Arabidopsis thaliana: one gene and its partner. The protein of the gene in region 1 interacts with the protein of each later gene in a pairwise test. Each region holds a gene or a part of one and is shown in the gene's direction. Other genes may lie near its edges.

The links.
Region 2: the proteins of SAG18 (region 1) and RABA1c interact in a protein complementation assay, tested with the Arabidopsis thaliana proteins (one large-scale study listed by BioGRID).

What each region holds. Positions count from the first base shown.
Region 1 is NC_003070.9:26,832,874-26,836,911, reverse strand, and holds SAG18 (senescence associated gene 18), read left to right. Parts: upstream 1-1,851; 5' UTR 1,852-1,929; coding exon 1,930-2,056; intron 2,057-2,152; coding exon 2,153-2,255; intron 2,256-2,327; coding exon 2,328-2,448; intron 2,449-2,538; coding exon 2,539-2,660; intron 2,661-2,745; coding exon 2,746-2,867; intron 2,868-2,972; coding exon 2,973-3,132; intron 3,133-3,202; exon of another isoform or gene 3,203-3,224; coding exon 3,225-3,315; 3' UTR 3,316-3,506; downstream 3,507-4,038. Other genes in the region: AT1G71200 (basic helix-loop-helix (bHLH) DNA-binding superfamily protein), read left to right, coding at 1-299, 847-939; AT1G71180 (6-phosphogluconate dehydrogenase family protein), read right to left, coding at 3,621-4,038.
Region 2 is NC_003076.8:18,557,064-18,561,542, forward strand, and holds RABA1c (RAB GTPase homolog A1C), read left to right. Parts: upstream 1-1,996; 5' UTR 1,997-2,254; coding exon 2,255-2,475; intron 2,476-3,146; coding exon 3,147-3,576; 3' UTR 3,577-3,882; downstream 3,883-4,479. Other genes in the region: AT5G45740 (Ubiquitin domain-containing protein), read right to left, coding at 61-180, 264-386, 992-1,034; AT5G45760 (Transducin/WD40 repeat-like superfamily protein), read left to right, coding at 4,058-4,165, 4,268-4,364, 4,455-4,479. UniProt on the Arabidopsis thaliana protein: Intracellular vesicle trafficking and protein transport.

The sequences.
Region 1 (4,038 bases):
TCGATAATGTAATCACTTACATTCCCAAGCTACAGAATGAAGTTGGAGAGCTAACTCTAAGAAAGCAGAAGCTTGTGGAGTTAGAGAGACGAGGTCCTTCTATTCGAGCAATCTCGGTTCTTGAATTGGGGGAATCAGGTTATGAGGCTGTTGTACAGATATGCTTGAAGAAAGAAAACGAAGATGAGTTCTCCAACTTGCTTCATGTAATGGAGGTGCAAGGTTTGAGTGTTTTAAGTGCTTCTACTTCTCAAGTTTGCCGAGAGCAAAGGGTGGTTTGCTACAACTTCCATGTCAAGGTACTGTGTCTCATCTTATCTTCTTCATTTCTCTTTAGTTTATGTTTTGATAGAATGGAGACAATGTGCTAGTCTTCATGGATATGAACAATGATGTAACTTTTCTTCTCCAAACAATACATGTTTAGGGTCCAAGTCATGGGAGGATTGTGTTTTAACTTTAGCTAAGCATTGAGATTATGTTAAGATTATATAACGTTTAGAAAAGATATAGGACTAATGGTTTATCATTAAGTTCATAAACCAATGGTTTTTGTTCTTAAGATATATTGATTCTATTGGTGGGAGAGAGACTGTTTCGACCTCAATGAACCTGGATTTGAGTGTAGCATTATGTATAAAGAGGGATGATTTACATATATTTGCATGTATTATCAATGGCTGATCCTAGATCTATGGACCAAAAACACTAAACTAAATTCAAAATTAGTTTTTAGCAATTCGATAGTATGGCACTAAAAAGTCATTGGATAGTATTTACATATATACATTGGATGTTCTTTTTTGAGAGAACTAACAATTGCAAAATGTATATGGGAAAGTGTAGATGGATGAGAAGCCATGTGAAGGTGATGACTACATCACAGTGTTAAAGAACAACATCATTTCTTCGCTTCGTGACAACACAAAGTGCAAATGATATATAGTGAGGTATAGAATCAACAGAATATCTTTGATGATGCATATCGCAACTTATAATATTCCTCTTCTTGCTTAGATCATGTTTGGTTTCGTGTTGGGAATCTCATAAATCATATATAGATGTAGAAGTTATGTTTATCTCCCTATGGTAAACCTCTTCTTAGTATGCCTCAAGATCACGATTTACATGCTCTAGTACCCGATCCGAGAGGATTATCTACCAAAGGCCCATAACTTGTAATCCAAATAGAAATTTCTTTGCGAAGCTAAAACTCAAGTTTTCCAAAACAAGTTGTTAGAATGCCGACTAAAGTTTCTTTATATAGGTTTAACAAGAAATGTATAACCTAAAGATTTGATCCCATGGCATAAAAAAAATAATAATTAAAAACATGGAAGCAAAATATATACAACAGATAGACTATGATCTTGCAGTCTAAAGGTGAGACCACTCTTTGATGGACCACAACCTCAACTTTCCGAATCAGCCGGCTTTTGTTTCAGGAGCCAAGAGAAAGACACAACAACCAAATCAAAAATGACAACACGGCTCCAAAAGAATATGGAGTTTGGCAAGGCTTACCTTTGCTATAAATAAGTTGAGCATTGGACTTGAAATAACTTTGTCTAATGAATTCTTACTTGTATTTTATAAGACGAAAACGTAAATCTTGCATTAAGAATTCATACAAATTTTCATAATTGATAAAATTCTTACATTATCGTACTAGAAATCGGAAATGCATTCCACCATTATGCGTGTTAGTACTAATCGGAGTTTTAACTTGTACTAAATTTAACAAATATGACGGAGAGAGTTGAAAGCTTATCACAATGGCATTTACCGTTTTGCCCTTGTCGTTGTAATTTCAACATTTCCAATTTCTTAACGCCTTTACTGACATCGACCCCAAAAAGAAAAAAAAAAAAGAAGAAGAGTCAAACCTGAGAATCTCATCTCTCTCTGAAGTAGAAGAAGAAGAAGACGATGAAGAAGCGAACGATGTCCGCGTGGGGATCGGCGATTTTAATCTTCATAATACTTATGATCGTCACTCCCACAATCCCTCAATCTCAGGCTTACCACAATTTCGCCGATCAACGCTCCTTCCTCGGTATAAAATTCACACTCTTCTCTCATCATCATCATTTTCTTCTTAAATACCCTTTTGAATTTTTAGGGTTTTGATCTTACAAATCCATTTTCTCAGGGATTCCAAATTTTTTAAACGTCATCTCCAACTTCCCTTTCCTCATCATCGGCCTTATTGGTCTTATCCTCTGCTTTTACCCAGAAGATTACTTTAGCTTTAGGTGCGTAATTACATACTTCTTCTTTGTGAAATCCAGATTCAAATTAGTTAAAGTCTCTGTGTATTGAAACAGTTTGCGAGGTGAGAAAATAGGATGGACTTGCTTTTACATCGGTGTAGCTGCTGTTGCTTTTGGATCTTCTTACTATCATCTTCACCCAAACGATGCTACTCTCCTCTGGGATCGTCTTCCCGTACGCTCTTATTCTTTCTCTTCTCTTCTCTGAGATTTTGTTTGCTTTGTTTTGTTTTTGATCACTGGTTTCGATTGCTTTTTGGTTTAGATGACTATTGCTTTCACATCAATCATGGCTATATTTGTAATCGAGAGGATTGATGAGCATAAGGGTACTTACTCCATTGCTCCTTTACTTCTTGCTGGTCTTGTTAGCATTTTGTATTGGAGGTTAGTCAAATCCTTAAACTATCTCTAGTGGTTTTAGCGATACAATGTTGAGATAGAGTAAGCTGACATGAGGCTGTGATTGTAGGTTTTTCGATGACCTTAGGCCATATGCTTTGGTTCAGTTTGTTCCTTGCATTGTGATTCCGTTGATGGCTATTTTATTGCCTCCAATGTATACACATTCCACTTATTGGCTATGGGCTGCAGGTTAGTGCTTATTGTTGTGTTGATACATATTTAGTTTGCTTTGCTCTTGAAGCTTTGTTGTTACTTTCTGGCTCTTATTCTAGATTCAATTGTCTGGAATTGCAGGGTTCTATCTCTTAGCCAAGGTGGAAGAAGCTGCGGATAAGCCTATATATAGCTGGACTCATCATATTATTAGTGGGCATTCTCTGAAGCATCTGTGTGCCGCTATGGTCCCTGTCTTCCTTACCCTCATGCTTGCGAAAAGAACCGTTCAAACTGAGAGGTACATTTTCATCCTCATGTATATGAAACGACCCGACGTGGCAGACCCATATTCTTGTTCTCATTGTTTTACATCATTTTGTTAAAACACAGGATTAGCTTGTATAAGACATGGAAGAAAGGATCCGAGGAAGAACGGTTCGAGCATAGCTACTCCAACGTTGCAGTCGAAGAGACTCGGTAGATTATTTTGTTGACTCGTAAAATGTAAGATGATCTTTTTCTTTTGATAGTTTGTGTGTTTACGGTTACTGGCTAATAGAATTAGATATAGAAGGTACAGATTTATGATCCAGTTGGAAACTAATGTTAGCGATCTGTAATCTTATCAAAATGCTGCACTCTACCATTCATAAATGCCCTTTGTTTCTTATTGAGATTGGTGAGACTCGATGTTCTTCTTATTATCAACTTAAACCAAATCGAAGACAAGTTTGCCTAGTTGATCGTGAAATCATTGGAACACTCTGTTTTACAACACAAGTGTTTTCAGGATATGCCGTTAAGTCTTCTAATAACAGAGACGACGCCTTGAATACCTAACTTGCCATCTCCATTAGCCACCATTCCAGTGAACAACTGCTTGCTCAGAGCAGCACCAGGCATCGCCGCCTCTGCAGCCATTCCCAAATCTTTCACCATATACTCCGCAAAGCCAGTCGCCCTATAATCCCTCTTCACAATCATCTCCCCAAACAGCCGCATAACCGCCGATCCAGCTGCACCATCCTTCACCGCCTCGAGCCATTTCACTGTATCTAAACCCGCTTTCTCAGCGAACACTATCCCTTCAGCAAGTCCAACCAGGTTGCTCGCACCAGCAATCTGATTCCCTATCTTGCAGCTTTGCCCACTCCCTGCTTCTCCCATATAAGTAACAGTCCCTATATTCTTCATCACCGGGGAC
Region 2 (4,479 bases), on another chromosome or scaffold:
AGTCATTAAGGTAACAAAACAAGAAACGAGAGAAACGAATCAGAATTGTGTATTACAAACCTCTTTCATCCCAGCACAATGTTAGGTCACGGTTCTGAACAATCACGCCTGCACTGTCAACAATAGTTTGTGCTAGTTTCAAGTCAGCTTCAGCAGCAGCTCGAAGTGCTTCCCATATCTCTGGTTTTCAGTAAATTTCGCTCAGTTTCCAAATGTACATAGTGCGATGCAGCAGATTACAAGAAAGAGAGATATATATATACCTCTTTGACCACCATAGTGTGGAGAGGTGTCCCAAAATTCCTCACGCATGTTCGTAAGTTGTGCCCTTGTGATTGGCTCAGTATGTGCCCACGGTTTAGGTTTCATGATTTTCTTCCTTTTTGCTGTGTCAAACGTACAAAACTCATAAGAGAATGATACAATATAAACTACCACCAATTTTAAAACAGTTCTTTCAGTAACACCAATATTATAGCCATCTACTTCAGAAGATCATCACAGTTTCAATTTCATCAAGACAACAAATACAGTATAAGGCAGAACGAATCAGATTATATTGTCTATTGTTCACAGAACAATTTTTCTTGGTAAAAATGGAATGTTATAACATTAGTAAACGGCCATTTCATTTCAATCATACCATCGATAACAACTTTCTCTGATCCAACATTCTAATTCTGAGCAGTAGAAACAATGTTGAAGAGCATTCTAATTCTCTGCTGAACTAATTCTGAGCTTCAAAATTTGGAATCTTTAACGAATCACAAACATGTCAACACCACAATAAACTGATATTTCCTTCGAAATCACTCCAAGAATCATAACATTTGCAAGATTAGTTCATGTTAACACCTCAAAACTAGAACTATCACCAAGAATCAAAACATTACAACACAAGTATAAATCGTAGCCCAAATTCTGAGAACAAATTCAGCGAGACAAACGGAGTGCGGAATTAAAGGTTTAAGAGAGTATCGATTCCACTAACCTCCGCCTTCATTTCTGGCCTGAGAAGATCCGATACAACCCATTCTCGAACCGTTGAGAGTCGCGTTTGATTAGGTGAAAATTGGAAGTCGCTTCGAACAAGTAAAGTAAATGCCAGTACAAACTCGACCGTCGGGAACGAAACGGAGAAAGATAGCCGCCGATAAGAGTTTCACGGCGGGAGAATCGCCGGAGAAGTCTGCAAGAGTCGTCTTCAAGGTCAAATTCTGTTTTGACTGCCAAATTAGGCCATGAATGTTTTGTTGATTTTGGTGGGTTTTTGGATTTTGGATTGTGGCTTTTGGTTTTTTGTTTTTGATTTTATGAGTTTTTGATTTTGGTGGAGATTTTAGATTTTGCAAAATCTTAAATGGTAACTTTTCTAGTTTTTGATTTTTATATAATTATTATTTAGAAACGTTTTAAAATTATTTATTTAAAACTTTATTTTTATTTTTAAAAACAAAAAAAAAAGAGTTTACGATAGAATTTGTTGAAAATCCCAAAAAAGTGAATTTTGGATTTTAAGAACAAATGACTAGAATCTTTTAAATTTTGAATTCCCTATAATTTAGGAAATTAACTTTTTACAAAATCATGAATGGATGAAAAAGTGGATTTTGTAAAATCAAAAGCCAAAATCAACTTTAAAAACTAGTACCATTCAAGGCCTTAGTTTGTTAGAGAGAAGAAAGTGAAAACAGATCTCCCCGATTTTATTTATAGTCACTTTACTTGCCACGTCATATTATTCTGGATTAGTATATTATATCTGTTTGAATTAATCGTCAGCGTCTGTAGTCCAACGGTTAGGATAATTGCCTTCCAAGCAATAGACCCGGGTTCGACTCCCGGCAGACGCATTCTTTTTTATCATTTTAATCAGTTTAGAAAAACATAAAAGATAAAGACAAATGTGAATTGACGAATACGTCCTCGTCTTTATCGAAGCGAGCAAGGTAATAGATCAGAACGCGTTAACAGGGCAGTTTAGTAAATTTGGCCACACAAATGTTAGATTTCTTTGTGATAAAGACAGTACACAAGTCCTTTGTCTTTCTCGTTTGATATTTTCCAATTCCGCGTCTTTCTCTGTTGAAATCGAAAAAATTTTCAAAACAAAATCTAAGGAAAAAAGAGCAACAAGTTTCAAATCTCATTTGGGTTTTTCATTTTGAAAAGAAGGACCCATTTTTATCTCTCTCTTTGTTTTGTTTTCTCGAATCTGAAGGAGTAAAGTTAAAAGCTTTGAAGGAGAGAATCAATGGCGGGTTACAGAGCAGATGATGAATACGATTACCTATTCAAGGTTGTTCTGATAGGTGATTCAGGTGTGGGCAAATCCAATTTGCTTTCACGATTCACGAAGAACGAGTTTAGTCTCGAGTCAAAATCCACGATCGGGGTCGAGTTCGCGACTCGGAGTTTGAATGTTGATGATAAAGTCATCAAAGCTCAGATTTGGGATACTGCTGGTCAAGAAAGGTCTCATCTTTTTCAACCACATTGTTCATTTCTCGATCTGGTTTCTTATATTAGAACATTTTGATTGAAGTTTTGGGGTTTATGGTTTTGTTTGGTTGCCAAAGACAGTAAATTTTCAGCTTAGGTTAGATCTGTATCAATTGATTTAGATCCATTGGTATTGATCACTTTTATAAGAAGAGATCTGGATTAGTATGTGATTTTGACAACTTGGGTTTTGTGTAAGATAGGAGAATCCTATGATTATGATTATAAAGTTATCAGCTTTATCAAATTTCTTCTGTTGTTTTTGCTATTTTAGGTTTATGTGAGAGAGCTTGATTGGTTTCAGTAACTTCATTTCTACGATTCTTAGCTCTTCTTTCTCAGATTTCACCTAAGATTCTTCAATCATTATCGATTTCTTCTGTTGTTTTTGCTTAGTTTATTTATGTAAGAGAGCTTGATTGGTTTTAGTTGGATTCTTAAACTTTCATTTGAAGCTTTTACTTGGTCTTAATTTCAAAATTGAAAAGCTTCTTGCTTTGTATGATTTGCTATTCTCCATTTCTCTGATCAGTTTTGTAAAGCGTGCATAGTCTGAATTCGAAACTGTAAAGCTTCTTGCCTTTTTTGTGTTCCTGATGTTTCGGTTAACTTAATTCTCTGTTTCGTTGACTTTGTTTCAATAGGTACCGAGCCATCACTAGTGCGTATTACCGAGGAGCTGTTGGAGCGCTTCTTGTCTACGATGTAACCCGACACTCAACATTTGAAAACGTTGAGACTTGGCTGAAAGAACTCAGAAACCACACTGATCCAAACATTGTAGTCATGCTCGTGGGCAACAAATCTGACCTTCGCCATCTCGTGGCTGTTCAGACTGAAGATGCTAAGTCATTCGCCGAGAAAGAATCTCTCTACTTCATGGAAACCTCGGCTCTCGAAGCCACCAATGTTGAGAACGCTTTCGCCGAAGTCCTCACTCAGATTCACCACATTGTGAGCAAGAAGGCGATGGAAGCTGCGAGCGAATCCGCTAATGTTCCATCGAAAGGAGACAAGATCGATATCGGTAAAGATGTTTCAGCTGTGAAGAAAGGTGGATGCTGCTCGAACTAATCAGAGAGTAGAATTATTGTTAACAACCTAAGGATCGGTTTTTGTTAACGGTTCTATCGAATATGAAGATTGCTTTTAGGTTGAGTAATGCCCATTTGGTGTATTTCTGTTATTTATCTGATCTATCAATGTTATTGTTTGAAAATGCTATGTCAAATTTTCAGAACCCTAAATTATATTTATCTCAAACAATAGAATTGTTGAAAAGAAAAGATAAAAATAGTTTCTGCCTTTGATGATTTCAGTTTGGTTGAACATAATTTTCGGTTTGATTTCGTTTCACCGTATCGGTTCATTTTGGTTAAGTGGTACTAAAATCGATTTCTGTTAGGTTGGAATTTTGTTGTTTCGATTTTTTTGGTACAAAACCGAAGGATTACCAAAATATCCGGTTTAGTTTTGGTTTGTTTCGGTTAGCCTTTTTTAGCTCAATTTAGAGCTTGAAACTGAGCAATCGCCGGAGAAACTCTCACTCACAGTTATGGCTACGGCAATGGAAGAGCCAAGGAAGCTGAGAGGCCACAAATCAACTGCCACTTGTTGTATAGCTTCTCGTGACCGGCCTGGAATTGTTCTCACTTCCGGCGAGGTTTCTTAATCTCTAATTCAAACCTCTTTTTTCCGATGAATTTAGGTTTCGTTATTGTAGTTACTTCGCAAGATTCATAGTTTTCCGATCATACGATTATAGGATGGTTGCATTTGCTGGTTTGATTTGCGATGTAAAGATGTTCAATTCATCATCGATGTTGGAACAGAACCAGTTTCATCTCTTTGTTTCAAGACAGGTTTTGTCTCTTTGTGTTTTGTCTGTTTCTCTCTCTTTCAATTTCTTCTCTTTGTTGCAATTTGGTGATAACTTTTATTTGATTTTTCAGGTAATGAGAACATTCTCTATGCTTC